Macaca mulatta: one gene and its partners. The protein of the gene in region 2 interacts with the protein of the main gene of each other region in a pairwise test. Links are inferred from orthologs where the notes say so. Each region holds a gene or a part of one and is shown on either strand. Other genes may lie near its edges. The genes, in order: USP2, VPS52 and PPP1R18.

Region 1 (10,046 bases), on a different chromosome or scaffold from region 2:
GCACAACTCTGCCAAGAAAATTGTGAAGAGGGGAGAGCTAGAACCTAAGTTAAAGATTTTCATTTTTTAAAGAGGAAGGGTGTGGAGCCTTTTACACGGCAAAGGAAAAGTCAGTAGAAAATGGAAGTTTTAAAGAGATAGGACTCCAAACACGTGCAAGCAATTGTGAGTGGGATGTGATTGGAGACACTTTCAAGTCATGATTTCTAACCTCAGCTGGGCCCCTGATGCTGCCTGACAACCACACTGCATTTGTGGGAATTCGAGTCCAGTCACTGCCCCACTCTCTCACACAGCAGTTCTCAAAGGGTCATCCCCGTACGGGCGACTGCAGCATCACCTGGCACTTGTTAGAAATGCAGATTCCCGGGCCCATCCTAGACCTACTGAATCAGAATGTCTGGGGGAAGGGAGGGCCTTTTTTTTTTTCTTTTGAGATAGCATCTCACTCTGTAGCTCAGGCTGGAGTGCAGTGGCACAATCACAGCTCATTGAAGCCTTGACCTCCCAGGCTCAAGCAATCCTCCCATCTCAGCCTCCTGAGTAGCTGGACCATAGGCGCACACCACCACACCTGGCTAATTTTTTTATTTTTTGAAGAGATAGGGTCGTTCTATGTTGCCCAGACTGTGGGAGGGCTTTAATAGGCTCTCTAGGTGGTTTTGGTACACACTAAAGTTTGAGAATCACTGCTCTCAGTGACTTTTTTAGAACTCCTCCTCCAGGTTCAAACTTCTAAGCCTTTCCCTTCATCCTCACAGTCAGCTGACCCTGCTTCCTAATTCACAAAGAGGAAAAAAAAAAAAAAGGCCTCGAAGAGATAATATCCACCAGCTTCTCCCACATCAATCCGCCTTCCCACATCTATGCCCAAATATCATGCCTTCTCTCTTTTTACTTTACCCAAATATCATGCCTTCTCTCTTTTTACTTTGCATGAGCCATCAGTCCTCTAACCAAAGCCAGCCCCTCTGCTTCTGGACTCTGTCCAATCCCTTCTCCCCTCATCAGGGACATTTCTCCAGACGTTCTCCTCACTCCCCACTGCATTGTCAATTTTCACTCTCTACTGGCTCCTCCCCATCAGCATATAACATATAACTATTTTTTCCCACTTAAGAAGTTTTCTTGACCTCACTTCTCCTTTTAGCTCCCAGCCAATTTCTCTCCTTCCTTTACAACACAACTCCTCCAAAGAGTTGCCTCCAAAGAGTTGTTTCCATCCCTCTCCTCCCATTCTTTCTTAAACTTATCAGCGATCAGACTTTTACCCCCACCACTCCACCAAAACTGTTCTTGTCAAAATCACCAATGACCTTCAATCAATTATCTTTGCTCTATATACTTTCCAGTGGGGGGGCAAGGGAGGGACAAGACATAAAACAAAAAAAAAAATCAATCAATCATTCAATTCTCAAACTCATCTTACTTACTTTATGGGCCACATTTAACACAATTGACCTTTCCCTCCTCCTCAGTAAGTTTCCTTCTCTTGGCCTTCAGCATACCACCATCTCTTGGGGTTTTTTTCCTCACTACACTGACCTATGCCTCCGTCTCTCTGATGGTTCCAACTGATCTCAAGCTCATATTGGAGAGCTCCAGAATTTAGTCCTTGCACGTCTTTTCTATCTACACTTGCTCCCTTGGTAATTCTTCTCATCTCCTGGCTTTAAATAACTTCCATATGCTGATGACTCTCAATCTTTTATCGCCAGCCCAGACCACACCAAACTTGCACATGAGCTGCTTTCTTGACATCTCCATTTGGATGCCTAGGAGACATACGTTTTTTGTTTTTTGTTTTTTTGAGGCTGTGTCTCGCTCTGTCACCCAGGCTGGAGTATAGTGGCACCATCTCGGCTCACCGAAACCGCTGCCTCCCAGGTTCCAGAGATTCTCTTACCACAGCCTTCCCCTTCTCAGTTAAAGTTCAGGTGAAAAATTCCTCCCTCCTCCCCACACTGCCTAATCCATCAGAAAATCCTGTTAGTCCACATTCAAAATACTTCTAAAATCCACCACTTTGAATCACCTCTTCTGCTACCACACTAACCAGAGGCTCACAATGACCTCCTAAATGGTCTCCTGCTTCTGCTCTCTTCAGCAATGGTCTCACGCTTCTGCTGTCTTCAGATCTGTTCTCTACACAGTAGCGAAAGGTAGGAACCCTGTCCCTCCTCTGCTCAAAACAAGCTTGTCCAACCCGCAGTCTGCGGGCCATATGTGGCCCAACACAAATTCATAAACTTTCTTAAAACATTATGAGGTTTTGCCCGGCCCAGTGGCTCACGCCTGTAATCCTAGCACTTTGGGAGGCCGAGGTGGGTGGACCATGAGGTTAGGAGATCGAGACCATCCTGGCTAACACAGTAAAACCCCGTCTCTACTAAAAATACAAAAAATTAGCTGGGTGTGGTGGCAGACGCCTATAGTCCCAGCTACCTGGGAGGCTGAGGCAGGAGAATGGCGTGAACCCGGGAGGCAGAACTTGCAGTGGACCAAGATTGGGGCACTGTACTCCAGCCTGGGCGACAGAGCAAGACTCTGTCTCTTAAAAAAAAAGAAAAAAACTATGAGGTTTTTTAGTGGTTTTTTTTTTTTTTTTTTTTTTTTTGAGACGGAGTCTCGCTCTGTCGCCCGGGCTGGAGTGCAGTGGCACGATCTCGGCTCACTGCAAGCTCCGCCTCCCGGGTTCACGCCATTCTCCTGCCTCAGCCTTCCGAGTAGCTGGGACTACAGGCGCCCGCCGCCTCGCCCGGCTAATTTTTTGCATTTTTAGTAGAGACGGGGTTTCACCGTGTTAGCCAGGATGGTCTCAATCTCCTGACCTCGTGATCCGCCCGCCTCGGCCTCCCAAAGTGCTGGGATTACAGGCGTGAGCCACCGCGCCCGGCCTTTAGTGATTTTTTTAAAGCTCATCAGCTATCTTTAATGTTAAGTGTATTTTATATGTGGCCCAAGACAATAATTCTTCTTCCACCATAACCCAGGGAAGCCAAAAGATTGGACACCCCTATTTCAAAACCTTTCAATAGCTCCATAAAAGCCAAAGTCCTCAGAAAGACCTTGGGGACATGCAGGTTTGGTCCTTCCCTTACCTCTCTGATCACATCTCCCACTCTTTCCCTATCTTTCTGTCTCTTCACTCCAGCCACATTGACTTTGTTCTTCCTCGAAAGTGGCAGGTTGCTCCCACCTCAGGACCTTTGTTTTTACTCTTCCCTCTGCCTAGAAGATTCTTTCCCTACATTTACATGTGGTTCACGCCTAGCCTCCCTCAGGTCACTTGAATGTTACCTTCTCTGAACACACTTCCTCCTTGCTTGATGTGCCCCCATAGCTCTTAGCACCATCTAACATATTACATATTCTACTTATTTATTGTCCTGCTTCTACTAGAATGTAAGCTCCCTGAGGGCAGGGATTGTGCCTGTTTTGTTCCCTGCTATATCTCCAGTTTCTAGACAAGTGACTGGCATGTCCAATATCCATCTGTAAAATGAAGTGATGGAATGAGGGCCCTAAGGAAATATAACATGGTGAAACCCCATCTCTACTAAATACAAAAAATTAGCTGGGGCCAGGCCCACTGGCTCACGCCTGTAATCTTAGCACTTTGGGGGTCTGAGGCTGGTGGATCACCTGAGGTCAGGAGTTCGAGACCAGCCTGACCAACACGGTGAAACCCTGTCTCTACTAAAAATACAAAAATTAGCCAGGCATGGTGGTGGGTGCCTGTAATCCCAGCTACTCGGGAGGCTGAGGCAGGAGAACTGCTTGAACCCAGGAGGAGGAGGTTGCAGTGAGCTGAAATTACGCCATTGCACTCCAGCCTGGGCAACAAGAGCGACATTCCGTCTCAAAAAAAAAAAAAAAAAAGAGTTGAAATCGAGAAGGGAATCGTCTTGGACAAGAACAGGGGTGCCTCTTTCACTGCTCCTGGTAAGAATGGATTCAGACATGTTTGCAGGTAGAAATTTAAGTATTCTCCTCCTGATTGCGTCTGATTTCTCTGGGAAATAGAAGAGAAGGAAGGACTTGAGGAGAGTAGCAATGGAGAGAGAGGTCTATGGTGAAGATGGGAGGCGTTAAGGGCACCTGCAAGGGTTGATGGAGCAGCTGAAGTTGAAAACCTGGATTTGCCTTGGTACCCAGCTACCTGGTTGTGCAGTTTTCCTCATCAACATCCGGGGAGTGGGGAGAAGGTTACACAAAAGTAACGGGATCAGCAAAAATTCAAGTGTTGTCTCGGCTTTTTCTTGAAAAGACCAAAGAGAATTCCTTCCATTGACTCAGTGCCTCCATTTACCCACTCGGGCACTCATCACTAATCACTGGTCCCATGGAAGTAAAATGAGCGGCGAGTGTCTTTGAGAGTAAAGAAAAAGAGAAGAGGCTGAGGAACAGGACCTCCCCCAGTCCGGTGAGAAGGGGAGTGGGGGATGTTTAGCCTTCCCTAAAAACTGGAAGTTGATATGCCCCGGGGCTCAAGTTCCGAGCCTTCTCCCATGACCCCTCTTCTTTCCCAATACCTTCCAGCTGCCCCGTCGTGTGACATTCCAGTCCACCTCTGTTCCTGCTCCACCCACTCCAAACTCGCGTGCTTTTCCTCCACGTGGTTCTCTGTGTATATCGGTTGCCTGGGAGACCCCAGCCGGGCCGGGCTCTAATGACGCCACAATAGGAACAAGCCAATAGCCGTGACGCGACTCAGTGACGCGAGACGCGGGGGTGTGGCTCTGCCGGCCCAGGCGCGATGAGGCGGCTGCCCGCTGGGTGGCGCCGATTTCCCGGGGAGGTCCCTTCTGGGACCCCGGCGGAGGTGGGAGAGAGGCAGGCAGGAGCCGAGGCCGGGGAGCTCTCTGCGTCAGCTGCGGACTGCGCCGCGCCAGCGCCAGCGCCAGCGCCAGCCGGGACTCACCCGCAGCTCCATGCTTGTGCCCGGTTCGACTCGTCCATCCTCCAAGAAGAGGCAGGTACGTGCCACCTGTCGGGAATCGGGGAGGGGGGATTCGGGGATCAGTGCCGGTTTGGGGCTCAGAAAGTAAGGTGTTCACGACAGCCTGGGCAGAGTGAACACTAGAAATATAGGGAGAGAGCCGGCTGTGCAGGGACGCTCCAGCTGTGTCTGCCAGTTGTGTGAGGGCTGCCTGCTGACAGCCCAGGGTGCCAGGAAAAGCCATCTGTGTGTTGATCAGTGTATTCTAAGGAAATGCTGCTTCGGCGGGTCCTCCTCGCTGTGCCCTGGTATATCGGTGGTATGTGGCCCAAGAGTGACACTGACACCCCTCCCCATGTGTGCGTGCAGCTCACTCGCTGCTCTTAAAGCTGCCCGGGTTGTATCTGGTCAGTTTGCTAAAGGGGGTTGGGGGCATGGGGTGTGCAACAATTAAGCGGAAAGGGAGATTTTCCACCAATCCCTAACCAGAAAAAGGCAGCTTTGAAATTCTCACCAATCCCAAACCAGAAGCATGCACGCGGTGTTCCGAAGAGAGCAACTTCTCAACAGTCAAGGGAAGCCCTAGCCAACCCATTCCAGCCCTTCCCTGAAGAGTGAACATCCTACCTCCTGACCTGGCTGCCTTTAGAATGGGACTGAGCTGGAGGTAGTGGTAGGGGCTGCTCACCTCCCCCGGAATGGGCATGAGAACATCCCCCAGATGGACCCCGGTAAAGCAGAGGAAAGGAGAACTGACTGGACTAAGGTCGAGGCAGGCCCCTTCCTTTGATGCTGTAGATGCAAGTCAGACTAGAGTCAGAATGAGGACTGGAATGAGGGCGTCCTCTGAAGTGCATCATCAGGACCTGGGCTGAGTCAGTAGCCTGTGCTAAGACAGGGTGGAGGCACCAAGCTGGGTACTCCCAGTCCTGGGGGAGAGCCATCGAGAAAACGTCCTGGGAGCAGACAAGTGCACCAAGGCCAGAGAGGCTAAGAACCCTGTTCCTTCCTCTTGTGACCCTGCCCAGCCCGGCTCTGTGGCCCTGGAATCCTGAGCCCTCCCACAGGTAGAGTGGAACCACCCCAGAGGGGCCAAGCATTCTCCTGGTGGTCTGGGGGAAGCTGTGCTTGCCGTATTTTTCTAGGCAAAGGGGGAAGGAGCCCAAATGGGCTTGGCCTTTCTCTGCTTGGTGGACTGGACATCTAGGAAGATGGCAAGCCTTGTTTGCCCTTCCCGGTTATGGGACATGGTCAGTTCAAAAAACCTTGGGACTGTTCTCTGGCATTAGAAAGGCACACGTCTGGTCAGGAGCAGTGGCTCATGCCTGTAATCCCAGTACTTTGGGAGGCCGAGGCGGGCGGATCACGCGGTCAGGAGATCGAGACCATCCTGGCTAACATGGTGAAACCCCGTCTCTACTAAAAATACAAAAAAATTAGCTGGGCATGGTAGCAGGCACTTGTAGTCCCAGCTACTCGGGAGGCTGAGGCAGGAGAATGGCGTGAACCCAGGAAGCAGAGCTTGCAGTGAGGCGAGATCATGCCACTACACTGCAGCCTGGGAGACAGAGGGAGACTCTGTCTCAAAAAAAAAAAAAGAAAGAAAGAAAAGAAAAGAAAGAAAGACAGAAAAGAACCCTTCCCCAGGAGTAACCTTCCTTTTCTCCCTAGGAAAGTTCTCCTGGTAAGGTGCCATTACTAATAATACCACTAATTATAATAAGTGGAAGTATTCAATATAATCATCATGTTTACTGAACTCTTACTATGGGCCAGGAAATTTACAAATATTAATTTATTTAATCCTCACAACTGAGATAGACCATTATTATTATTATTCCTGTTTTGTAGATTAAATAGCTAAGATTCAGAGAACTTAAGTGACTTATCCACTATTTTGGAGCCAATAAGGGAAAGAACTAGCCTCCAAGCCCAGGCCGAGAAGTCCATTAGAAAAGAACGTTGGACTGAAACCTGAGTACTAGTCCCCTTTCTGCTTCTGGCTATCTGTATATGCCCTTGAGCAAGCTGCTTTCTTTCTTTAGGTTTACTCTATCTCAAAATTAAGAGTGGGGCTAACAGTATGGCTTCTTCCTGTTCTCTAATCCTGTGACTGACTGCTCTGGAAAATCCACTTTCTCCGTCTTTTTGTCTCAAGTTCCACCCCCACCCCTCCGTGCTCTTTTCAGTCCTCTTTCCTCTTGAATCTCCCCATTGTTCCCCTTCAAAATGCCCCCCTTCCAAGAGTCCTTACAGACCTCCTTGGCTGGCACTGGCCTGAAAGGGCAGCCCCTCAAGGGTGGGTATGCCACTGCCCCTTTAATTCTCCCGGGGCTTGGAATGCAAGTGAGTTGCGCTCACCATCTCTGCAAGTGTGCGAGGTCAGATAAGATACTATATATATCGGAGTCAGTAACCTGAGCTCCGGATTACCCAGCCCGGAGTCAGGCTCCAGCTTCTGGACTTTCCACTGCATTCCCTGCCCTGCTGTGGAAGAAGAAGCCCCCAGCTCCCATCCAGTGCCCCTGGACACAGGTCAGTAGCTGCCCCTTTGGTATCTGAGCTTCTCTGGGACTCTACCTAGAGGAAAGACATCAGTGTATCTAGGATAGCATGTAAGAGGCCACTCCACTGGGCCTGGTGGGTGTCAGGGGCAAGACCAAAGGCTCCTCCGGAGGCTGAGAACAGAGGAAAGATAAGGCCCTAGAGGAGAGGGAAGGAGACCAGAGTTCTCCCCTGGGGAAGGGACACCAGGAGAGTACCTGGGCAGAGGTGGTTGGAAAAGAGAATTTAAGGATCCCAATACTGCCTGGAGGCCCATTTCTTTGCTTTGTCTTGGAAGCATAGAGATGCCCACCCCACTCACAACCCCAAATCAAGGAGCACCCTATAGAAACTGCCCTGGGCCCACCCACTTCTTCTCCACCAGTCAGGATTCTTGCCTTAATCTCCAATCTCTTTATCTTACCTCCTCCCCTCCCCCAGCTCTTGGGTAACTACTGGGAGCAGGAGAAAGAGAAATGGACCCAAATTCCCTTGGATGACCCCTTGCCAGGGCAGGCAAGAGGATTAAGCTGGTGGATCAGTGGGTGCTAGCCCCTGATAGACAGAGCCTAGTGACAGGCTGGAGAGGAGGGGGCCAGCTGAGGCCCTGGGGCCTGAGAGGAGTAGGCTGAGTTCAAGGACTGTTTGAGCATAAATATGCTCCTGCCCCCACAATCCCCTACTCTACCCACGTCCTCTACACCTGCCAGGATTCCCTCATCCCATCCTCTAGGACCAGACACTTGTGCCCAGATAGTGCAGCAGGTGACCGGAGCAGCTGGGAGGGCGGGTCAAAGTGCAGATGGAAGGAGACAGGGCCCCTCTCACCCGCCTTGTCCTTCAAGGTCAGCACATTCTGATGCTGTTAGCAAGTGGCTTCAGGAGGCTCTGAGGTCACCACTGTGGAGACTCCCAGCCACCTGGCGGGACTGGCTGGGACTCCCCACTCACCTTTTCTGGGCACCTGAGTAGGAGGGAAGACTTAACCCTGTTTAGGCATGCTTCTGAAACTCAGCTAGAGGTTCTCTATCCAGGCCCCAGTAGCAAAGCAGGCTTTCACCCTCAGAAAGCCAAGCAGATCTGGGCAGATGGGTGATGTGGGGCATCACCCATCCCCTGCCCCCAGGGCCAGGAGTGCCTGGAATTCCTGGGGAGCAAGTTCCTCCCCTGGCTTGGCAGGTTAGGGAGCCCTTCACATGAGCAACAGGAAGTGACAGTGGCTGAAGCAAAGGGGTTGGCTGCCCCAGGGGGACGGGGTTCATTTTAACCCCTGACTCACCCAGCATGGGTACCTTGAGGAGTGGGCCAAGCTGCAGCCAGGGTAGGAGGCTAGGGACTTGCTCATAACCAGGCCAGGGACCCAAGGCTCTGAGCTGGGGTAGATGCTGCTGCCAGGGAACACACAGGGGCTTGGCACAGTGGGTGAAATGGAGGCTTCCTGGACCATCTCGCGGCCGATCAGCATTGTTCTAGGGCTCGAGTTGCACCTGGCTTCACTTTCATTCGCCTGCAGTGGAAAATCCAGAGGGCTGCTCCTGCCGGAGTCTGTACACCCCATGTTGTACCTACAGGAGAGGGAAGGAGACCAGGGCTCTCCCGTGGGGAGGGGACGCCAGGAGAGTACTTGTGCAGAGGTGGTTGGAAAAGAGAATTTAAGGATCCAGGACTGCCTGGAGGCCCATTTCTTTGCCTTGTCTTGGAAGTGTAGAGATGCCGGAGGCCGGACACCTGGATCCTGTGGCGGTCCTTCCCTCAAACCCCACCTACAGGTCCCAGTCCCGACTCGTCCCATGGAGAGCCAGGGAAGAGTGAAGCAGGGGTCTGGGCTTCAGGCCAGCTATAGCGGACAGAGCATAGAGCACAGGTCCAGCCCAGCTCTGCCACTGCTCCCAGTGTGACTTTGGGAAATCCACATCACTCCCAGCATCGCCAATTTCCTCATCTGCAAATGGATATTATAACAGCACCTACCGCTTAAAGGAGTCGGGAGGGTTCAGTGAGTTAATACACTGTGTCCCAAGCCTTAGTGCAGTTTTAAGCTTTAATAACTTCAGAAATACAAATGCTAAAAACTTCATTTGAAAGTTTCCATATTTAAATGTCTTATATATTTATTTTCTAATTGTGAATGTTTTTTTAATTTTAATTTAAATAATTTAATCTGTCCAAAGAGGTGTGTAAGTTGGAGACATTTATGTCTGAAAGAACTCCAGCTTAAACCCACACTAAGACTTTTTGGGGTGCTCTGTGTATGAAGCACACCTAGAAGAATGTGTTACATGGCGAGGGCCGATGAGAGCTGATGTGAGGCCGCAGAGAAGATGGACTCAGAAGCTGCATGTGAAGTACTCAGCATGCCTGGGGCCTGGTTCAGAGGTGACCAGCACCAGCCGGCTGGGGTGACAGCTGCTTGGCTCACATGTCCTGACAGGAAGCCCAGGCCTCTGTGCAGAGGAGTGCTGCTGCACCTCCCAGGAGAGGGAAACTGTGCAAAATGACAGGAATCTCTGACAGAGAAGGAAGGGTCCAGACACCTCAGTGAAGATGGCCAGGAAGAGGA
Region 2 (10,277 bases):
AGGACAGGAAGCCATAGGTATATAAACTATTTATTAACAGACAAGGCCTACAGACTTATTTCTTCTTGGACACACCCACGGTGCGGCCACGGCGGCCAGTGGTCTTGGTGTGCTGGCCTCGGACACGAAGGCTGCAGGTAAAAAGAGAAGGGTCATAGGTCATACACAGCACAAAGAAAAGGAAGAGCGAGTAGGAGGAATGCTGTGAGTCGAGGTAGGCAGTGAGATGAGACCTCCACTCACCCCCAGAAGTGGCGCAGCCCTCTATGGGCCCGAATCTTCTTCAGTCGCTCCAGGTCTTCACGGAGCTTGTTGTCCAGACCATTGGCTAGGACCTGGATTGAGAGGCGGCGGCAAGGGATGTTTTATCCCCTGACCACCTACCTATGCCCAATTCTATCAGGACCCTCCACCCTTCCTCTAATCCTGCCCTCATTTCAGTACACACCTGGCTATATTTTCCATCCTTTACATCCTTCTGTCTGTTCAAGAACCAGTCTGGGATCTTGTACTGGCGTGGATTCTGCATAATGGTGATCACACGTTCCACCTGGCAGGCAGGACAAGGTCAGATCTACATGACCCCCTTTCTGAGGCTGACCCCACCCCCAGCCCCCTTCCTTGTCCTCACCTCATCCTCAGTGAGTTCTCCCGCCCTCTTGGTGAGGTCAATGTCTGCTTTCCTCAACACCACATGAGCATATCTTCGGCCCACACCCTGAATGAAGTGAGGGTTTTCGGAATTAGGGTTCAATCTGATTTTTAAATTCCTTTATAGCCTCATTATTCAAAAAGCTCACAAAGGTAGGATCTGCAATAATCTATTTTGCAATTCCCTAGGTCACCCTTTCGTCACCCACCTTTCCAGATATAAACCATTTGATAGAAGGTTAACTTTGGGCCGCACGCAGTGGCTCACGCCTGTAATCCTAGCACTTTGGGAGGCCCAGGTGGGTGGATGACTTTGAGGGCAGGAGTTTGAAACCAGCCTGGCCAACATGGTGAAACCCTACTAAAAATACAAAAAAATTAGCCGAGCATGGTGGTGGGTGCCTGTAATCCCAGCTACTTGGGAGGCTTTGGCAGAATTGCTTGAACCTGGGAGGCGGAGGTCACAGCAAGGCGAGATCACACCACCACACTCAAACCTGGGCGAGAGAGAGAGACCCCGTCTCAAAAAAAAAAAAAAAAAAAAAAAGGTTACTTTGTTCAGGGGCACAACTGAATCATGAACACAGAATTTAGTGTTATAGACAACCCTTTGAAAGCAGGCAGTATCTTTTTTTTTTCTCCTCATTGCTCAGCATATGTATTTGTCACTAAGTGCCTTCTGATTCTTGCATTTAGGAGAACAAGGGGCCTGCCTCTCCAAGCTAATGCAGTAAACCAGAGTCTTATGAGTTACAGGATTTGATTAAGGTATTTGGGCTGTCAGTTCCTCAGAATCTCTAAGGCAAATCACTGTATCCCTATAATCAAAGTATTCCAAGATCACAAACTGAATTTTGTCAGTGCCCAGAACTGACCGCCCAAGTGATTATAAAAAAAGCCTAATGCTTACATTGGTAGCATCATATCAACACCAGCACTAGCACCCATGCTATCTAAATTCATGAACCAAAGTGATTTGGAGAGTGAAGGATGAACTGAATAGTAAGCCCTGCCCCTCATTTTGTCCAACTAGAACCTCAGAATGTGGCCCTATTTGGAAATAAGGTCTTCACAGAAATAATTAGGTAAAATGAAGTTATCTTTGATTAGGGTGGGCTCTAGATCCAATGACAAATCATAAGAGAGACATGAAGAGGACCATGAAATGACAGCAACAGATTGGAGTAATGCAGTTACAAGCCAAGGAACACTAAGGATTACTGACAACCACCAGTAGATAGGAAGAGGCAAGGTTATTAAGTGCCTCCAGCACCGTAAGTAATTTTCTTAGTTTATATGAACTTATTATAGTAGGCCCCAGGAAACTAAAACAAATGGCAGTTCCTCTCTGCGAGAGTGAGAGATCAAGGGTTGGCTTCACAGTGGCTCATGCCTGTAATTCCAGCACTCTGGGAGGCTGAGGGTGGACGATCACTGAGCCCAGGAGTTCCAGACCAGCTTGGACAACACAGCAAGATCCAGATTAGCCAGACGTGGTGGTGGTGCACACTTATAGCCCCAACTACTTGGGAAGTTGAGGCAGAAGGATTGACTTGAGCCCTGGAGGTCAAGGCTGCAGTGAATGGTGATTCCGCCACTCCAGCCTTTCAAAAAATAAATGTGGCTGGGCGCAGTGGCTCAAGCCTGTAACCCCAGCACTTTGGGAGGCTAAGGTGGGTGGATCACCTGAGGTCAGAAGTTTAAGACCAGCCTGACCAACATGGTGAAACCCCCCCCTTCTAAAAATACAAAAATTAGCTGGGCGTGTGCCTGTAATCTCAGCTACTTGGGAGGCTGGAGTTGCAGTGAGATGAGATCACGCCACTGCACTCCAGCCTGGGTGATGGGGCAAGACTCTGTTTCAGAATAAATAAATAAACGTGACCAAGGGTCAAATTATTAGGTTTATTCAGAAGAGAGCAGGGTCTTTCAAATATATATATTTATTTATTTATTAAATGACGAGGTTTCACCGTGTTGGCCAGGCTGGTCTTGAATTCCTGACCTCAGGGGATCCACCCACTTCAGCCTCTGAAAGTGAGCCACTGCACTCAGCCTCAAATTTAATTATATGTTTACAAATGAATATTTACTTCAAAATGAGAGTGGGAAGACAGATAGATAAAATGAGATTTCTAATTTTAGTTAGAATAACTTTCATCCATGAAAGTTATTCTCTATTACACTTCTGAATGGTGCACCTCTACTTAAGCCTCACAGCAAGTATCTAAGTACAGTATTTCACACTGCCTTATTAGTTTCACAGAGCACCCAACAGAAGGAATTTTCCTCTACACATTCCTTAAACCAGCCAACAGTATCCCTACTACTATCCATTAGCTAACGTCGCCTAAGTATCTACCATGCAACAGAAGCCAAGAACTGTAAGACAGGCCTAGCCCTGCACCCATGAAGTGGACACATACTGGTAGGCTATTTCCACAACTAACTACAAATTCTGACTTAAGAAAAAAAAAAAAAAAGAACGTGTGTATCTAGAAAGCCAGGAGTTTATTAGGTTTGTGGAGAGAAATACCCAAGTGAAATAATTATTCTTGCATTCACTGATTCGATTCTTAAAAGCCGAAGAGAGAGATGTACTCCTTCACACTTTAACAGGAGTGTCAACTCTGACATATGAGTAAATGTCCTGCTCATACTTCTTCCACCCTCCATCTACAAGTTTCTTCACACTTTTTATCTGTTGGCATTTTTACTCATCCCTCAAGATGCCCAATAATCCTCCAATTCTGAGGGAATATAAATTTCACAGGAAGGGTTGCTGTTATAATGGCAGGGTGGGTAAAGAAACCGAATCTAGAAGGATCTCACGGTTCAGGAAAATCTTAGCGAATTCGGGTGAGCAACCATACCTCCTTCCCACTCCCCCGGGTGAAATGTTTTGGCTTGACCTTAGACCACTCTCTTGGCTTTAATCACTTATTTTCTGTGGTAAATGTGGTAAGTGCTAAAGGGGTTAGTCTCTCCCTAAACCACTTTCTTTTCTTAATCCAGCAGTCAAGGTGCTCTGGATGAGACTCAAGTCTCCCCAACCTTGCTTCATTTTTGCTCATGTCTTCACAACCCAATTCTCATTTACATTCCCTATTCCTTACCCTACTTTACTTACCTTAATGGCAGTGATGGCAAAGGCTATTTTCCGCCGCCCATCGATATTGGTGTTGAGTACTCGCAAAATATGCTGGAACTTTTCAGGGATCACTAGAGACTGGTTTAAAAAGTACGGGGGAGAAATTAGACACAGTAAACTATCAAACAGTAAGGTTGAAAAGGCAAACGAACTTCATACAAAACGGTTAAGCCTGTCACACAAGTGGCAAAGGCACCCGATCCCCACCCCTAAGGTTTTCACACCACACAGCAAACTCCTCAGTCCTGCAGAGTAGGTACATGAAGCGTTCAAGCTTGGGAAAATGCAACCTTTGGAGAGAGGAGGCAGGTCTCCTGCCCATTCCCAAAAGTGCGTGGCGGAAGCCAGAGTTCCCCATATACGCCCAAGCCTTAGGCAGCTTCCGTGCGCCAGAGCAGTGACCCTTCCTCGGGCCCGCTCTCCGGAACTGGAAATCTTTGGTGTCCCTTTCCAGGGGCGCGATCCAAGGCTTCATACGGAAAGTCTCAGGCCCTCAGGACAGGGCGTTTCCAGAACCCCAACAGCCGGCTTTCCTTGCCCGAGTTGCGATGTCGCTGGATCACGGCACGGATTCCAGGCTTACCATGGCGGCAGCACAAGCGGCGGCGTGTAGGCCTCCTGTGGAAGAGAGAGCGGAAGTGACGCGGTATCATTATATAGCGTTCAGGAGGAAGAGGCGGAGCGATCTAGGAGAAGTGCTTCCGGAAACTGTTTCAGCCTGACCTAGCTGGACTTAAGAGAGTATGGCTCGGGTACCACAACTTCCGGTGCGCCTTTCTTTACAGTTCGTAAAGTTCATAGGTTTAAGAGAAGCGAAGGTTCCGGGCTAGTTTGTGCTTCAGACTTCCACATTTCCGTTTAGAGTTGGGTGAAGTGGTTAGAACTGAAAGGGAACAGCTGGAGTCAAACAATTTAACTCAAATATCTGGGAACGATTTCGCGCTGAGGAAGACCCTTTGGGACTTGTAGCTCCACTCCGGGGAACAGACTCGCCGGCCTGACAGTTGCCGGAAGTGAGGCTGCGGGGAATGGCCGCCGCTGCGACCATGGCGGCTGCCGCCCGGGAACTGGTGTTGCGGGCAGGGACGTCAGACATGGAGGAGGAAGAGGGCCCGCTGGTGAGAGCGCGGAACTGTTTCTCCTCCGTAGTCCCGGTGCTCCTAGCTTCAGAAAGACCTGAGCTGGGTTTAGGCACAAGGGTGGGAACTTGGCTGCTACCTGTGATATTACCTGTTTGACTCCCCGTACCCTTCCCTGTGATCAGACCCGACCCTGAGCGGGACCCTCGTGGCTGAAACTCATATTCTGGGGCACAATTTCAACTTCGCTCCACATTTTGGGGTAGAGTCAAGAAGTAATATAGTGTAAAGGTTAAGAACATGGACTCTGGAGCCAGACTGCCTGGGTTCTAATTCCATCTCTGCCACTTACACGCTGTGTTCCCTTGGGCAAGTTAACCCGCTTTTCTGTGCCATCATTTCTCAGACCTATAAGATGAGGAAGATAGAACCTACTGTATACATCGTTGTTAGGATTAGATGAATGAGTATGTTTAAGATTGCATCTCGCACGCAGGTAAACACTATGTATTTTGACATTTATAGAAAGCCTGGGGTTCCCCAGAGGTGTGATAGAACATCCAAGATGGCAGGAGCCTGAGGGTCCTAAATTTAAGTGCAAGTTCAGCTCCATCCTCTGCAATTCCTAGCTTTCCTCATTAGGTCATCTCCACTGTCTTGTCTTTTACTTTTTTTTTTTTTTTCTTGAGACGGTTCTCCCTGTGTTACCCAGGTTGACCTTGAACTCCTGATCTCCTCAGACAGTCTTCCAGTCTCAGCTTCTAAGTAGTTGGGACTACAAGGAGCCCGCCACCATGCTGGGCTACCTCCACTGTCTCATTGGATCGTCTCACTCCTTGTCGTATTCCTTACCTATCAACACAAAATAGGAGAGTGGGTACAATGTGAGACTTACAGTTTTTCAAAGCGGTACCTGTGGCTTCCAGCAAAAGCACCTCCTTCTCACTTGAAGGACTGGGGATATCCAATTACATTTTTTCTTTCTGTCTTTCACTGTATCCTACTCCCATTAACTTATTCCTTTTCAGGCGGGTGGTGCTGGGCTCCAGGAATCACTGCAACTTGGGGAGTTGGATATCACTTCTGATGAGTTCATCCTGGATGAAGTGGATGGTAAGTGATGGCGTGGAGTGGGTGCAGTACCTGTAATCTGAGAGGCATGGGAGCTGGAAGGAATAAGGTAGGGATTGGTGTGCAGATACTCAATGTGGGGAGAGGGAGCTGTGGAGCTGAACCCTTACGATAAACTTCTATTTCCAGTTCACATTCAGGCAAATCTGGAGGATGAGTTAGTAAAGGAAGCTCTTAAAACGGTGAGGATTTCCCCTATACTAATCTGCCCTTCTATCTACTGTCCCCCAAAAGGAAAAACAACAGTTTTTTGCTTTTGTTATATCAGCCTGGTATCTGATCCTTTAGTCCTTCACTGATTCTGTTACAGTGTCCCTTTACTGAGACTTTTTTCTGACCTGTCATCTTTATGTCCTCCCAGGGTGTAGATCTTCGTCACTATTCAAAACAAGTTGAACTGGAGCTACAGCAGATTGAACAGAAATCCATTCGGGATTGTATCCTCCAGCAGAGGGAAGGGGCGGTGCTATTGATATGGGGATTTTGTGGTGTGTGGTACAGATGTCTCAGCTGGGGTCAACATCTGTGAGGTTTCTGTCACTTCAGAGAGCAATTGGAGAGGTACTACAAATCTGAGGCTCTCCCATTTTCACCATGAGGCCCCTTGACTTTTTGTGGGTCAGATATTCAAGAGAGTGAGAATATAGCATCTCTGCACAACCAGATCACAGCCTGTGATGCTGTCCTGGAGGTTAGTAATCCTGAACTGTGACCCCTAATAGCTGCTCTGAACCAGATCATGGACTCTGGTGCCATTTTTAGGTCATCAGCCTTAAGATGGGGACAAGTTAGGGTCATTTTCAAGATGACTTCAGGAGCCTTTTTTGTTATTGCTGCCATATTTAATGTTATTTCCTGGTAATCTGGGGTATCTCATCCTCTGCCACCCTCATGGACTGATGAATACTGAGGACTTCACAGAGAGGCTTTGGTGGCCCACTTATCCCCTACAAACCCTATAGCACTCCAGCAACATCTTCTACCTTCCCTACAGCGAATGGAGCAGATGTTGGGAGCTTTTCAGAGTGACCTCAGCTCCATCAGCTCTGAGATCCGGACACTGCAGGAACAGTCAGGAGCCATGAACATTCGACTTCGAAATCGCCAGGCAGTTCGGGGGAAACTTGGGGAGCTTGTTGATGGTCTGGTCGTGCCTTCTGCTCTGGTCACGTGAGTTACCGGTTTGAAGGGTCATGATGTCCGTGGCAGGTGAATGGGCTGGGGTGACCTACCTTATTTACCATATGGGTCTACTGGCTCCAGATTAAGTGCTTTTTAGAAATTAGTAGCCAGGTTAACCACCATTTTTTTAGGCATGCATTAGGCATCAAAGATTAAGATTAAGAATGATGTAAGATCGGCTGGGCGCAGTGGCTCAAGCCTGTAATCCCAGCACTTTGGGAGGCCGAGACGGGTGGATCACGAGGTCAGGAGATCGAGACCATCCTGGCTAACACGGTGAAACCCTGTCTCTACTAAAAATACAAAAAAAAAACTTAGCCGGGCGAGGTGGCAGGCGCCTGTAGTCCCAGCTACTCGGGAGGCTGAGGCAGGAGAATGGCGTGAACCCGGGAGGCGGAGCTTGCAGTGAGCTGAGATCCGGCCACTGCACTCCAGCCTGGGTGACAGAGCGAGACTCCGTCTCAAAAAAAAAAAAAAAAAAAAAAAGAATGATGTAAGATCAGGTGTATAGTGGGAAGGTCCAGGAATAGAAAACTTTGTACATGTGTCCTGACTATATGGTACAGTGCAAGGTGGTAGAGATGATAGGAGCTGGAGGTAAGGAGTGTGGTCTGGGTCTGGTTTAGGGATGTCTGGGTTTCCCTTGTAACTTATCCCACCCCTTCCTGCTACCCAGGGCAATTCTGGAGGCTCCAGTGACAGAGCCCAGGTTCTTGGAGCAGCTACAGGAGCTGGATGCCAAGGCAGCTGCAGTCAGAGAGCAGGAAGCTAGAGGCACAGCAGCCTGCGCGGATGTCAGAGGCGTGCTCGATCGGCTCCGGGTCAAGGTGGGAAGTAGGGATGGATACCCTGGAGGCTACTAGAAGCAGCCCTCCCAAGATCTTCACTATGGATTTTCTTGGCAGAGCTCACTGTAGCCTGTCTCCAAGAACTTCACCCTGCCTTTTCTGGGCAGCCCCATTCTTGCCTCTCTGGGTTTCCTTGAAAATCTTGAGAAATACCAAAGAGATATGCACCACTTTTCAATCTATGTTTACCATTTGTTGCTTCCCCCAATTCCTCTCATACAGCAAAAAGGTTGCAGCTTCATGCTCTGTGCTTGGTTCCCCACATCTAGGCAGTGATGAAGATCCGAGAGTTTATCCTCCAGAAGATTTATTCCTTCAGGAAACCAATGACCAACTATCAGATCCCCCAGACGGCCCTGCTGAAGTACAGGTCACAACCCCAAGGAAGTGCATGGGATGGCCTTTGAGCTTTTGAGCAGCCTAATGGCATCTGGTTTCCTGGGAGACAGGTAGACTGACATGTTCCTGACCTCCTAGGTTCTTCTATCAGTTTCTGCTGGGCAATGAACGAGCAACAGCAAAGGAAATCAGGGATGAATACGTGGAGACGCTGAGCAAGATCTACCTGTCTTACTACCGCTCTTACCTGGGGCGGCTCATGAAGGTGCAGGTAAGGTCAGGAGGGAGAGGCATTCCTGGGCACGTGGACTGGGAGGAGGGGACATCCCTGGGCAAGGAATATTTTATTGTGTTGTCGGAAGAGACGGTTATCAGTTCTCTTTTCTGTTTTCTTAGTATGAGGAAGTTGCTGAGAAAGATGATCTAATGGGCGTGGAAGATACAGCGAAGAAAGATATCCTAGTCCTGGGGAACCCTCATGCCAGGTCTTGAGAGTGGGAGGACTTTCGGCTGCAGCCACCAAGGCACTGTTCCTTACCTTTTCCTATGGGACTGAAACCTTTTAGAATGTGATGAAAGCTATAGCCTCCCTCCTAAGAAAGATGCGTCATTTTGACACATAGTTTTGCATATGATTGCAGGAGGTGGGGAGACACCCTGAAGTCCGTTCACAGATGTCATCACGTGGGGCCCTAGTACTGGGAAAGAGGGCTGACTAGGCCATGTCTCGCTGTCTGGGGTCCCTGCAGATAGTGAGTCTTTGGGCCCAGTTATGGTCTCATTGTTTTCCCTGACTCTGACCCATCTTACGATTCTTCTCAAAGCCATCACTCCGCAGCAGGAACACCATTTTCACCCTAGGAACCCGTGGCTCTGTCATCTCCCCCACTGAACTTGAGGCCCCCATCCTGGTGCCTCACACAGCCCAGCGTGGAGAGCAGAGGGTATGAGGAGGAACAAGCTTCAGTCATGAAAGAGACTCTGAGCATGGAGGGAGGGAAGGCCAGACCTCAGGGCAGAGCTTCCCAACCTGCAGGCCCTGTCTCGATCCCCTTAGACTTGGGAGTGGCCTTCTCCAATCACTCCAGCCTGCTGTGATGTGAAAAGAGCTGGGAACCATTGACTTAAGGGCATGCAGAGGGGAGAGACTGGATGAGGGGAATGACGGTCAGAGGCAGGTGTTGAGGTGGATGCAGGAGTAGCAACAGCAGGTGGGTGTAGGCCCTTTTTGTACCCCTATGTTCCCCCACCTTTTCAGTGCCCATTCAGCTTGCTCTTTGACAGCCTGGACCTAGATGGATGCCAAGGGTCTGCCCAGCTCTTATTACCCAGGTTTACTGATTTTGCAGCCATATCCATGGGAAGTCAGTGTTGGGGTCCATCCCTTCTGTGTTTCTTCTTTACTTCTCCTCTCCCAGTATCCATTTGAGGCCCTCTTCCGCAGCCAGCACTACGCCCTCCTAGACAATTCCTGCCGCGAATACCTTTTCATCTGTGAATTTTTTGTTGTGTCTGGCCCGGCTGCACATGACCTGTTCCATGCTGTCATGGGCCGTACACTCAGCATGACCCTGGTAAGATTCCTATTTCCTGTACTATTCAACACCTTTGTCCCCAGTCTTCATCAGCAGCATAGTGGGGTCATGACTCTGGTAGAACTGAAATCAATCAGGATCCTCATTCTAAAATGTCTAAGCCTTGGCTGGGCATGGTAGCGCACGCCCATAATCCCAGCATTTTGGGAGTCTGAGGCAGTAGGATTGCCTGAGCTCAGGAGTTTGAGACCAGCCTGGCCTGTCTATGAAAAATAAAAAATTAGCCAGCTGTGTGTTGATGTATGCCTGTGGTCGTAGCTACTTGAGATGCTGAGGTGGAAGGATTGCTTGAGCCCAGGAG
Region 3 (9,985 bases), about 3.3 Mb from region 2:
TGGGAGGGGTGCCCTGGATTGGAGGGGCAAAATATGGGTTCAGGAGGAGAACTGAGGAACTAATCTCAGCTTCCATTCCTCCACAGCACATACCCTAGTTTTTATCAAGAAGGGTGTACTTGTCCTTCCCCAAGCACAATACGTGCATTCTCACCTTTGCAACTTTGTTCATGTCCTGCTTGAGATCCCTTCCTTCTCTTCAGTCCTACCCTTTCTTCAAAACCACTTCCCTAGGTCTGAAGAGGCCTTGTCTGTCTTCTCATTGGGTGGTTGGCATAGGCTACTACTTTGTGTAGCTATCAGGTCACCCCATCTGTTCTGTAAATTCTCAGGGTGGAGACAGGCCATCCTTACATCTTTGGGACCTCACCCAGCATGCACCCTCCACATGGTGAATATTTGGTGGTGATGCTTAGGTGAGAGGTGGGGGAGAGTTGCAGGCTAGCCTGTGGTGGGGGCAGCTCTGGATCCGGGTCTCCCAAGGTCGGGCAGGGTAGGGCACTGGGATACGAAGCCCCTTATCCTTCCACAGCTGGTGATGCGGTACTGGGAGCCCGTACCCCGAGGCCCCGTGTTGTGGGAAGCTCAGGCTGAGCCATGGGCCACCTGGGTGCCCCTCCTGTGCTTTGTGCTCCATGTCATCTCCTGGCTTCTCATCTTCAGCATCCTTCTCGTCTTTGACTATGCTGAGCTCATGGGCCTCAAACAGGTGAGGCTCTGAGATCCCTACCTACGACCTCTGACCCGTTTTAGAACTACTCTTTCCCTTTCAAGGGTTTCCCTCCTCCCATGCTCTTCTACTGTCTCCTTGATTCTCCCTCATGACCCTTCCCTCAGAAGGACAGCAACCATGGGCCTCCTGGGCCTGGGGAAGGTACATGGATCATAAGTCAGGATCAGGGATCCAAGTCTCAGAAGAGGGGTTCCTGGGCCTGAGTTCTAGAAGGCTGGTGCCTGGAAGAGGAGGAAAGAAGCGCCCAAGCTGAGAAAAGGGCTTGACTCAATTTCTAAACTCTTCTCCCTCTTAGGTATACTACCATGTGCTGGGGCTGGGCGAGCCTCTGGCCCTGAAGTCTCCCCGGGCTCTCAGACTTTTCTCTCACCTGCGCCACCCAGTGTGTGTGGAGCTGCTGACAGTGCTGTGGGTGGTGCCTACCCTGGGCATGGACCGTCTCCTCCTTGCTCTCCTCCTTACCCTCTACCTGGGCCTGGCTCATGGGCTTGATCAGCAAGACCTCCGCTACCTCCGGGCCCAACTACAAAGAAAACTCCACCTGCTCTCTCGGCCCCAGGATGGGGAGGCAGAGTGAGGAGCTCACTCTGGTTACAAGCGCTGTTCTTCCTCTCCCCCTGAATTCTAAATCCTTAACATCCAGGCCATGGCTGCTTCACGCCAGAGGCCCAAATTCATGGACTGAAGGAGCTACCCCTTCCACTACTTGAGAGTTTATTCTCTGGGTCCAGCTCCACACCCTAAATTCTGAGTTTCAGCCACTGAACTCCAAGGTCCACTTCTCACTAGCAAGGAAGAGCGGGGTATGGAACTCATCTGTCCCCTCACTGTTTAGGGCATGACACTTTCGCCCTCAACAGCCTCCTGAGAAGGAAAGGATCTGCCCTGACCATTCCCCTGGCACTGTTACTTGCCTCTGTGCCTCAGGGGTCCCCTTCTCCACCTCCGGCTTCCACTCCAAGAAGCTGGACCAGGGTCTGCAAGTTCAATGGTCATAGCTGTCCCTCTAGGCCCCACACCTTGCCTCACCACTCCTGGTCCTAGTCTCTGCACCTCCTTAGGCCCTGCCTCTGTGCTTAGACCCCAACCTAGTCAAGGGTATTCTCCTGCTCTTAACTCGATGACTTGGGGCTCCCTGCTCTCCTGAGGAAGATGCTCTGCAGGAAAATAAAAGTCAGCCTGATTTTTCTACATATGGCATGCAGTCTGTCAGTGTCTCCCAAGCTGCAGGGCTGAGTTTGGAAAAGAAAGCCAGAGGGAGCCTGGGAGCGCCGAACTGGAGTCTGGGCAGCCACCACGCCCTCTGGCAACCGCTGGGCTTCGGCCACCCCCCGCCGACCCGGCCCACTTTGCCAGAGCGGCCGGGTCTCCATTCCCATTCCTTCAAATTCCCTTTTTCCTGGCAGCCGACCCGGAGACCCAAGGGAGACAGGTTGAAGCTAGAAAGAGTCCGGCAGCAGCTCTGGTAGGGGGGCGAGCTTCCAAAACCTCTGGTTTCTGAGCGCCTCTCCTGCCGCCCACTCCACAAGGCCCCCCACAGCCTGGCGGTTGCCCTCGACCCGCAAAAACAAAGGCCTGCAGAGGTTGGACCTCCAGACCCAGATGAGAAGGCAAAAGCGTAGGGAGGAGCTGCAGGAGATGGGAAGGGCGGGCCCGGCCCCGAGCAGCTGCCGCTTCCTCCCAAAGTCCCACGAGGGGCCTGAGTCACGGGCCACCGCCCTGGGTCGGCGAGCTGGGGGAAGGGATCTGGACACCTGGGGTGTCCGGGCGGGAAGCTGGTGAGGGCCCCTGGGGACACAGCGGAGGGCCAGGGATTGGGACAAGAACAGGGTAGTCCCGGAGCGAGTCCCACGCGGGGTGGGAGGGAGCTAGGCCCCGCCCCCTCCTCGGCTCCGCCCTGCGCCCCCATCCCTCTCCTCATTGTCCTTAGACAAAGCGGTCGCCGCCCCCGCCCGGCCCCCTGGTCTCTGTCTCCGTCCCACCTCCTTTGCTGCCTCTTTCCCTCCTCCTCTCCTTCCCTCCTCTCCTTCCCTCCTCTCCTTCCCTCCTCCCCTCCCTCTAGTCTCCGGATCTCCCTCGGTCCCTCTCTCCTCCTCTTCCTCTCTCCGGACGCCCGGCTCCTCGGCACCCCCTCCCGCGGGGGTCCTGCGGCGTGTGAGTTGACTGAGGGGCTCAGACTTGGGGAGTGGGTGTCTCCTCGCTCCGGTCCTTGCTCCCATCCCTGGCCCGGATCTTGGCTGTCTCCTCTTTGTGCCGAGATTGTCAGTCTGTGCGTCCAGAGCGGGGTGGAGACTGCCGGCTCTGTCACGGCTCCATGAGAGCGGGGACGGGGCACAGGACTTGCAGGCGCCGGGGAGAAGAGACATGGAGCCGGCCCTCGGCACTCTGGGGTCGCGTGGCGCAGCCGGTGGGGGAGGCAGGCGGTGGTGACGGGACAGGGTGGGGGTGGACGCCAGGGTTCTGGGAACGCGCTGGCAGCCCTGACGCCCGGGTTCCGAAAGTCCCGGGGGTGGGTATTTCCCCCGACCCGCCTCGGGGGCGGAGTGCGGGGCAGAGGGGTGGGGGCTGGGGAGAGGCGTGGCCCGAGCGGTGCTGGAAGGGGAGCCGGGACCTTTGGGGCCCGCGCTGAGACGCGCCGGGTTGCTGCCGCCGCGCTCCTTTCCCCTCTTCCTTGGTTTCCCTTCTCCCCTAGACCTCTTCGCTTTCCGCTCCTCCTTGCCTCCCCAACACCCCCTCAGGTCCCGTTGCCTCCTGGTCCTTCCAGGGATTCCTGGTCCTTCCTTCCCACACTAGTCTCCCTGGGGTATCGCTGAGGCAGTCTGGCCTGCACCCAGATTCCCCTCACCCCAGCCTCATTTCTCTCTTCTCCCTCACACCAACTTTCCTTTTCGCCCTTCTCTCTCTGTCTCACATCCTAGAGACTGTCTTTAATACGCATTAACCCTGACTGCCACATCTGGCTCCTGCCCTCATTGCCTCCAATCTGGACTCTTCCTCTCACATCACCCCCACCACCCCCAACTTGGGCTCACAACTTCTCTTCACTTTTTCCATTTCCCCAGTTCTCTGCCTTCCCTCTTTCCCTCTGTCCTCATCCTTAGCCCCCCTGCCCTGCTTTGTGTCCCACCTCTCCCCCTCCACTTCCTCTCCTCCCACCCTCAGTCTCCCCCCTGGGCCTCTCTGGAGCCTCTCCTTCCTGTTCTCTGCCCCCAGTGCTCCCTACCCTCACCTCAAGGCGACCATGGCCACCATCCCAGACTGGAAGCTACAGCTGCTAGCCAGGCGCCGGCAGGAGGAGGCGTCCGTTCGAGGCCGGGAGAAAGCAGAACGGGAACGCCTGTCCCAGATGCCAGCCTGGAAGCGAGGGCTCCTGGAGCGCCGCCGGGCCAAGCTTGGGCTGTCCCCTGGGGAGCCTAGCCCTGTGCCGGGGACTGCAGAGGCTGGCCCTCCAGACCCAGATGAGTCTTCGGTCCTTCTGGAGGCTATTGGGCCAGTGCACCAGAACCGATTCATCCGGCAGGAGCGGCAGCAGCAGCAGCAGCAGCAACAAAGGAGTGAAGAGCTGCTAGCAGAGAGAAAGCCTGTGCCTCTGGAGGCCCGGGAGCGGAGACCCAGCCCTGGGGAGATGCGGGATCAGAGCCCCAAGGGAAGAGAGTCAAGAGAAGAGAGACTAAGTCCCAGGGAGACCAGAGAGAGGAGACTGGGGATAGGGGGAGCCCAAGAGTCCAGCCTGAGGCCTCTGGAGGCTCGGGACTGGAGGCAAAGCCCAGGAGAGGTGGGAGACAGGAGCTCCCGACTGTCAGAGCCATGGAAATGGAGGCTGAGTCCTGGAGAAACTCCAGAGCGGAGTCTGAGACTAGCAGAGTCTCGAGAGCAAAGCCCCAGGAGAAAAGAGGTGGAAAGTAGACTGAGCCCAGGGGAATCTGCCTACCAGAAGTTGGGCCTGACAGAGGCCCATAAATGGAGACCTGACTCCAGAGAGTCTCAGGAACAGAGTTTGGTACAACTGGAGGCAACAGAGTGGAGGCTGAGGTCAGGAGAAGAAAGACAAGGCTACTCGGAAAAATGTGGCAGAAAAGAAGAGTGGCCAGTTCCAGGGGTGGCTCCGGAAGAGACTACAGAGCTGTCCGAGACCCTGACAAGGGAGGCCCAAGGCAGCAGTTCCACAGGAATGGAGGCAGCAGAGCAGAGGCCTGTGGAAGATGGCGAGAGGGGCATGAAGCCAGCAGAAGGGTGGAAATGGACCCTGAACTCCGGGAAGGCTCGAGAATGGACACCCAGGGACATAGAGGCTCAAACTCAGAAACCAGAACCTTCAGAGTCAGCAGAGAAGCGTCTGGAATCTCCTAGTGTGGAGGCTGGAGAAGGGGAGGCTGAGAAGGAGGAGGCGGGAGCTCAGGGCAGGCCTCTGAGAGCCCTGCAAAACTGCTGCTCTGTGCCCTCCCCCCTCCCACCAGAGGACGCTGGGACTGGAGGCCTGAGACAGCAGGAAGAGGAAGCAGTGGAACTCCAGCCCCCACCACCAGCCCCTCTGTCTCCCCCACCCCCAGCCCCAACTGCCCCCCAACCTCCTGGGGATCCCCTCATGAGCCGCCTGTTCTATGGGGTGAAGGCAGGGCCAGGGGTGGGGGCCCCCCGCCGCAGTGGACACACCTTCACCGTCAACCCCCGGCGGTCTGTGCCCCCTACGACCCCAGCCACCCCAACCTCTCCAGCCACAGCTGATGCTGCAGTCCCAGGAGCTGGGAAGAAGCGGTACCCAACTGCCGAGGAGATCTTGGTTCTGGGGGGCTACCTCCGTCTCAGCCGCAGCTGCCTTGCCAAGGGGTCCCCCGAAAGACACCACAAACAGGTAGGGAAGCAGCCAAGCCAGACTTCTTAGAAGCCCACTTGTCAATTCTCTTTGGACTCTGGTCTTTATTTCTTTTTTATACCCCTGTTTTCTTGTCTTCCTCTCTTCTTTCTTGTTAATTCCTGCCACCACCCTTCCTCGCTCTGCACATACACCCTTCCTTCTCAGAGCCCTCCTGTTCCATTTTGAGCCCAAAAGATCCTGCCCCAGCAAAGGCCGTCTCTGGGTGTGTCTCTTTCAGGGTGTGCCCGGCTGCTCATTCTCCCTTCCCTTGGGCTCTGAATTTTCAGCCCCCTTTTCTTTCCTTCCTTTCCTGAGTGTGACCCGCCCCAGCCCATCCAGTGGGAAAGCCCAAACTGACAAGCTTGAATCAGTGAGGGCAGCGTCACGAGGGTGAAAGCACTTGCAGTTTTTCTGCGGAGAAGGGATAGGGAGCCTGGGGTGGCGGAGGGGGTGCGTTTGTGTTCTAGGGAGAAACTGTAGGGAGAAGTGAATGGAGGAAGGTCCAACTGCCCCATGGGAAAGAGGGCAGAGCTGAATAGGGACATCTTAGGATGGAGGGGAGAGGGGAGATGGAACTGGGCCGGCCAAAGAGCAGAGAGAAGGCTTTTGAACCCTGAGTCTGCCCCATGGGAGAGACACAGAGAGGCCATTTGAAGTGGGTGACCTCGGGGTTGCACACCCCCAGCTGGGCCACTGCTTCAGACAGTGCTCCCTTCTCTCTTGGGACAAGAAAAGCCTTCTCCTCTTCCAAAATACTCCCGCCCCTCACTCCCCCGTCCTTCCTCCCTGGGTTTCCCCTCCCTCCCAAGAACTGGCTTAGGGTTCGGTTTTCCCCTCTCTTCCTGCCATCCTGGACTCTCCCTCCCCTTAGGGTAGTGAAAGAGAGAAGTGAATTTGGAGACAGTTTTGAGAGCAGGCACTGGCCAGGGAGCACAGTGGGAGTTCTGGATAGGGGTCAGGGCTGAGGCCAGCAGAGGGTCAGAGGTTAGACTTGCAACAAAGACCTGCAGGAAAGTGGGGGCAGCTAGGCTAACTCCCCCTGGCCCTGGCCTCATTTCTTCCCTGTGCACGCCCACCTGTTTCCAGCTTGAAAATCTCTGGCGAGAGAGAGGTCCCACCTCAGACATCTCAGACTTAGGAAGTCCCTCCAGTCACACACATCTCCCCAGAGCCTGGGATGCCCAGTCTCATTCTCATCCCCTGTGTTAACATCCTCAGATTTGATTTTTTTGTGTCCTCAGTGTCAGTGGGGAACCACAGGGACTAAAGATATGGGTTAAGCCTGGGGTGGAGGGGGGTTCATTTGATTGCCCAATTCATCTTCACATGAAGCGTAAGTTCACACCCCTGAGCCATGGTGCTTGGGAACCTACCCTCAGCCCTCTGACTGCTACCATCCTGTTCCCCTCAGGGCTGGGCAGATGAAAAAAACAGAAGTCCGGAAATGCTACCCGGGTGAGGTGTTCAGAAAAGTCACTTCCTACTGAGAGAGGCTTGTGCCTCTGGGGAAGAATGAGCAGAGGGAAGCATGAAGCTTTGGGGCCCAAAGCCCAGGGAGCATCCCAGGGGAGCCAGGAAGCAAGTGCAGGGCAGGACCCATGCTGGTGACCATACCTAGGCCAGAGAGCAGGGGAGCCGGAAGCAGATCGCCCAAACAGGAAGCCTGGGGTGGGGGCCGGAAGGCTGGTGGGGCTGAGTGGGGAACCCTGGGCTCTGGGCCTGCCAGAGCTGTGCTCAGGATGTGGTGAGAGAATAAGGAAGCAGCCACTGCTTGGGTGGGGGTGGGGAAGAGGCAGCACAGAGTTCTTCTGACCCAGATGCCTCACCCTCCACCCTCTCCCCACTCTCAGCACCCTGCTCTTCAGGGACTGGGTGCCTTGTCCCAGCTCTGCTGCAACACACTGGCTCAGGAATAGGAGATAGGAGGACCCTGCCACCAACCCCCGCTTCACCTTCCCTAAATAACTCGTTTGCAGGCTAAGTCCATCAAACTTATCCCTGCCATCAGGAGAGAAATCCCAGCCCTGCCACTGGAGCCCAGGGGATGGCTGTGGCTGGTGCCCTACCCCAGAGGCCTCCTGGGCTGAGAGACCAGCCCTATTGTGACCTTATATAGCTGATGGGAGAGGAGCAAGTGAGTCACCCTCTCTCTACCCGCCCCCCCACTCCCATGCAGGCTGTGCATTCCTGAGAAGTCCAGTCAGAAGCTGGTGGGGGGTGAGGAGAGAGGCAGGGTAGGGGGGAGATACAAACATAGACCGAGAGCAAATAAAATAAGTCCTTTTTCAGAATAGATAATAAAGTACAGAGGTTATTATTCCAAAAGAGGATATGAGAAGAAAACAAAAATGGGTTCCCAGAAATGTGGGTAAATCTGTCAGTAACAGAAACTAAGTGGTCGCTTCTGAGAACTTGGGATATAAGCAGTCTGGCTGCTATAACTAGATTGTACCAGCAGTTCCACAGACATGAACTGGGGGGTCAAATATGTATAGGCTGGACCACCCCCAGATTGTTTCCCCAGCATTGGTCCTCTGATGGCACCTCATCTGAGGTTTGAACAAACTCTAAACTCTTGCACTGTAGCAACTTTCAAGCTCCTTTTTTCTTTTCTTTTTTTTTTTTTTTTTTCTGAGACAGTCTTGCTGTCTCCCAGCCTGGAGTTCAATGGTGAGATTTCGGCCCACTACAACCTCCACCTTCTGGCTTCAAGTGATTCTCCATCCTCAGCCTCCTGAACATCTGGAACTACAGGCGCACACCACCAAGCCCAGCTAATTTTAGTATTTTTAGTAGAGACGGGGTTTCACCATGTTGGCCAGGCTGGTCTCAAACTCCTGACCTCAAGTAATCCCCCTGTCTTGGCCTCCCAAAGTGCTGGGATTACAGGTGTGAGCCACTGCGCCCGGCCCCAAGCTCCTTTCAACAGCAGACACGAGTATAATAAATTAGTAAATTATCTAGGAAGTTAGAAGGTGGTAAGTGACTATGAAAAAAAAAATAGAACAGTGGAACTTAGAGGGTCAGGAAGCAGGGGGAGTGAATATGGAGACTTCAAAATGGGGTGATCAGGAGGGTCAGAGCCATGGGGATATTTCAGGGGAGTGTTCTAGGCAGAAGGAATAGCTAGTACTTTTCTGGTCCTGAGGTGGGAGTGCGTGGAGGGACCAACGCCAGTGTGGCTGGAGTGAAGGAAGAGGCCAGAGAGGCAAGGGGAGGGTGGCACATTGGGAGCACCCTGTAGGCTTTGGTCAGGCTCTGGGCACCTTTGGGGCAATCAAGTAGACTTTTTTTTTTGAGGTGGAGTCTCACTCTGTTGCCCAAGCTGTAGTGCACTGGCGTGATCTCGGCTCACTGCAACCTCCGCCTCCCGGGTTCAAGTGATTCTCCTGCCTTGTCCTCCCGAGTAGCTGGGACTACAGGCGTACGCCACCATGCCCAGCTAATTTTTTTGTATTTTTAGTAGAGACGGGTTTCACCATGTTGACCAGGATGGTCTCAATCTCTTGACCTTGTGATCCGCCCGCCTCGGCCTCCCAAAATGCTGGGATTATAGGCATGAACCACCGCGCCCAGCCTCGAGTAGACTTTTTGCTCCAAGTGAGATGGGGAGACAATGTGGGGTTTGGAGCCAACAAGGAGTAACATACACAGTTCCCGAGTTCCATTTTCCCATGGGGACCCAGGTGTCATATCTGATTTTTTTTTTTTCTTTTTTAGAGACAGTGTCACTCTATTGCACAGGCTTGTCTCCAACTCCTGGGCTCGAGAAATAATCCTGCCTCAGCCTCCCAAAGTGCTGGGATTACAGGCGTGAGCCACCGTGCCCGACTGGTGTCATATCTGATGCAGCTCTTAGCAACCACCTGCCCAGCCACCCTTCTGGCTTCTCCCTTTTCATACCTCAGTCCATTTGGGGACTCAGGGATGTTCGACTGGCCCCAAGTCCTCCCAAACAGATGCCAGGGAAGGCCTGAGTAGATCATTTGGACCTTTCCAAGTAGTCCACATGGAATCCTCCTGCTGTCTGCCTAATCCCTTTGGCTCCTAGACTTAATCCCACCCTGCCCCTTCCCCCTGAGCTTCTTAAGAGGGCAAAGGGGAAGGGTAGAAAGGCAGTGAGAACAGCTGGGACTCACCTGCTTTTGGCACAGTGTGATTTTTCTGTGCCCTGTCTGGTATTTTGTCTCTGCGCCTGTCCCTTTGAGCACACTGTGGGCCCCCACCCCAGGTTTGTGTGGACTTTCCTTTCTGCCCTTGTCATCTCCCCCAACCTTTCAAGGTGTCAGCGGCTAATCTTTCCCCTGTGTGTTGTGGGAGTCTCTTGGTTCCTCTAGGCCTTTCTATTCATCTCCCATCTCTTCCCAGGCCCTAGACCCCCTTTGCTATGGATAGGA

Evidence for each region.
Region 1: the proteins of VPS52 (region 2) and USP2 interact in binary tests that used the Homo sapiens proteins (3 or more experiments, as listed by UniProt). The two-hybrid records come from large-scale screens. The link is inferred for Macaca mulatta from reciprocal best matches to the Homo sapiens genes VPS52 and USP2.
Region 3: the proteins of VPS52 (region 2) and PPP1R18 interact in binary tests that used the Homo sapiens proteins (3 or more experiments, as listed by UniProt). The two-hybrid records come from large-scale screens. The link is inferred for Macaca mulatta from reciprocal best matches to the Homo sapiens genes VPS52 and PPP1R18.

The regions. Positions count from the first base shown.
Region 1 is NC_133419.1:120,067,235-120,077,280, reverse strand, and holds the start of USP2 (ubiquitin carboxyl-terminal hydrolase 2), read left to right. Parts: upstream 1-4,907; 5' UTR 4,908-4,979; exon of another isoform or gene 4,980-4,990; intron 4,991-5,867; exon of another isoform or gene 5,868-6,009; intron 6,010-7,361; exon of another isoform or gene 7,362-7,477; intron 7,478-10,046. UniProt on the Homo sapiens protein: Hydrolase that deubiquitinates polyubiquitinated target proteins such as MDM2, MDM4 and CCND1. Isoform 1 and isoform 4 possess both ubiquitin-specific peptidase and isopeptidase activities.
Region 2 is NC_133409.1:149,013,115-149,023,391, forward strand, and holds the start of VPS52 (vacuolar protein sorting-associated protein 52 homolog), read left to right. Parts: upstream 1-4,607; 5' UTR 4,608-4,830; coding exon 4,831-4,920; exon of another isoform or gene 4,921-5,377; intron 5,378-5,909; coding exon 5,910-5,994; intron 5,995-6,141; coding exon 6,142-6,194; intron 6,195-6,373; coding exon 6,374-6,449; intron 6,450-6,630; exon of another isoform or gene 6,631-6,635; coding exon 6,636-6,703; intron 6,704-6,974; exon of another isoform or gene 6,975-7,006; coding exon 7,007-7,182; intron 7,183-7,870; coding exon 7,871-8,021; intron 8,022-8,311; coding exon 8,312-8,412; intron 8,413-8,519; coding exon 8,520-8,652; intron 8,653-8,777; coding exon 8,778-8,835; coding exon of another isoform or gene 8,836-8,843; intron 8,844-9,191; coding exon 9,192-9,325; intron 9,326-9,799; coding exon 9,800-9,955; intron 9,956-10,277. Other genes in the region: RPS18 (small ribosomal subunit protein uS13), read right to left, coding at 56-131, 244-335, 449-550, 632-718, 3,782-3,880, 4,386-4,388. UniProt on the Homo sapiens protein: Acts as a component of the GARP complex that is involved in retrograde transport from early and late endosomes to the trans-Golgi network (TGN).
Region 3 is NC_133409.1:152,356,794-152,366,778, forward strand, and holds the start of PPP1R18 (phostensin), read left to right. Parts: upstream 1-3,974; coding exon 3,975-5,585; intron 5,586-8,228; coding exon of another isoform or gene 8,229-8,258; intron 8,259-9,985. Other genes in the region: NRM (nurim), read left to right, coding at 515-709, 1,029-1,310.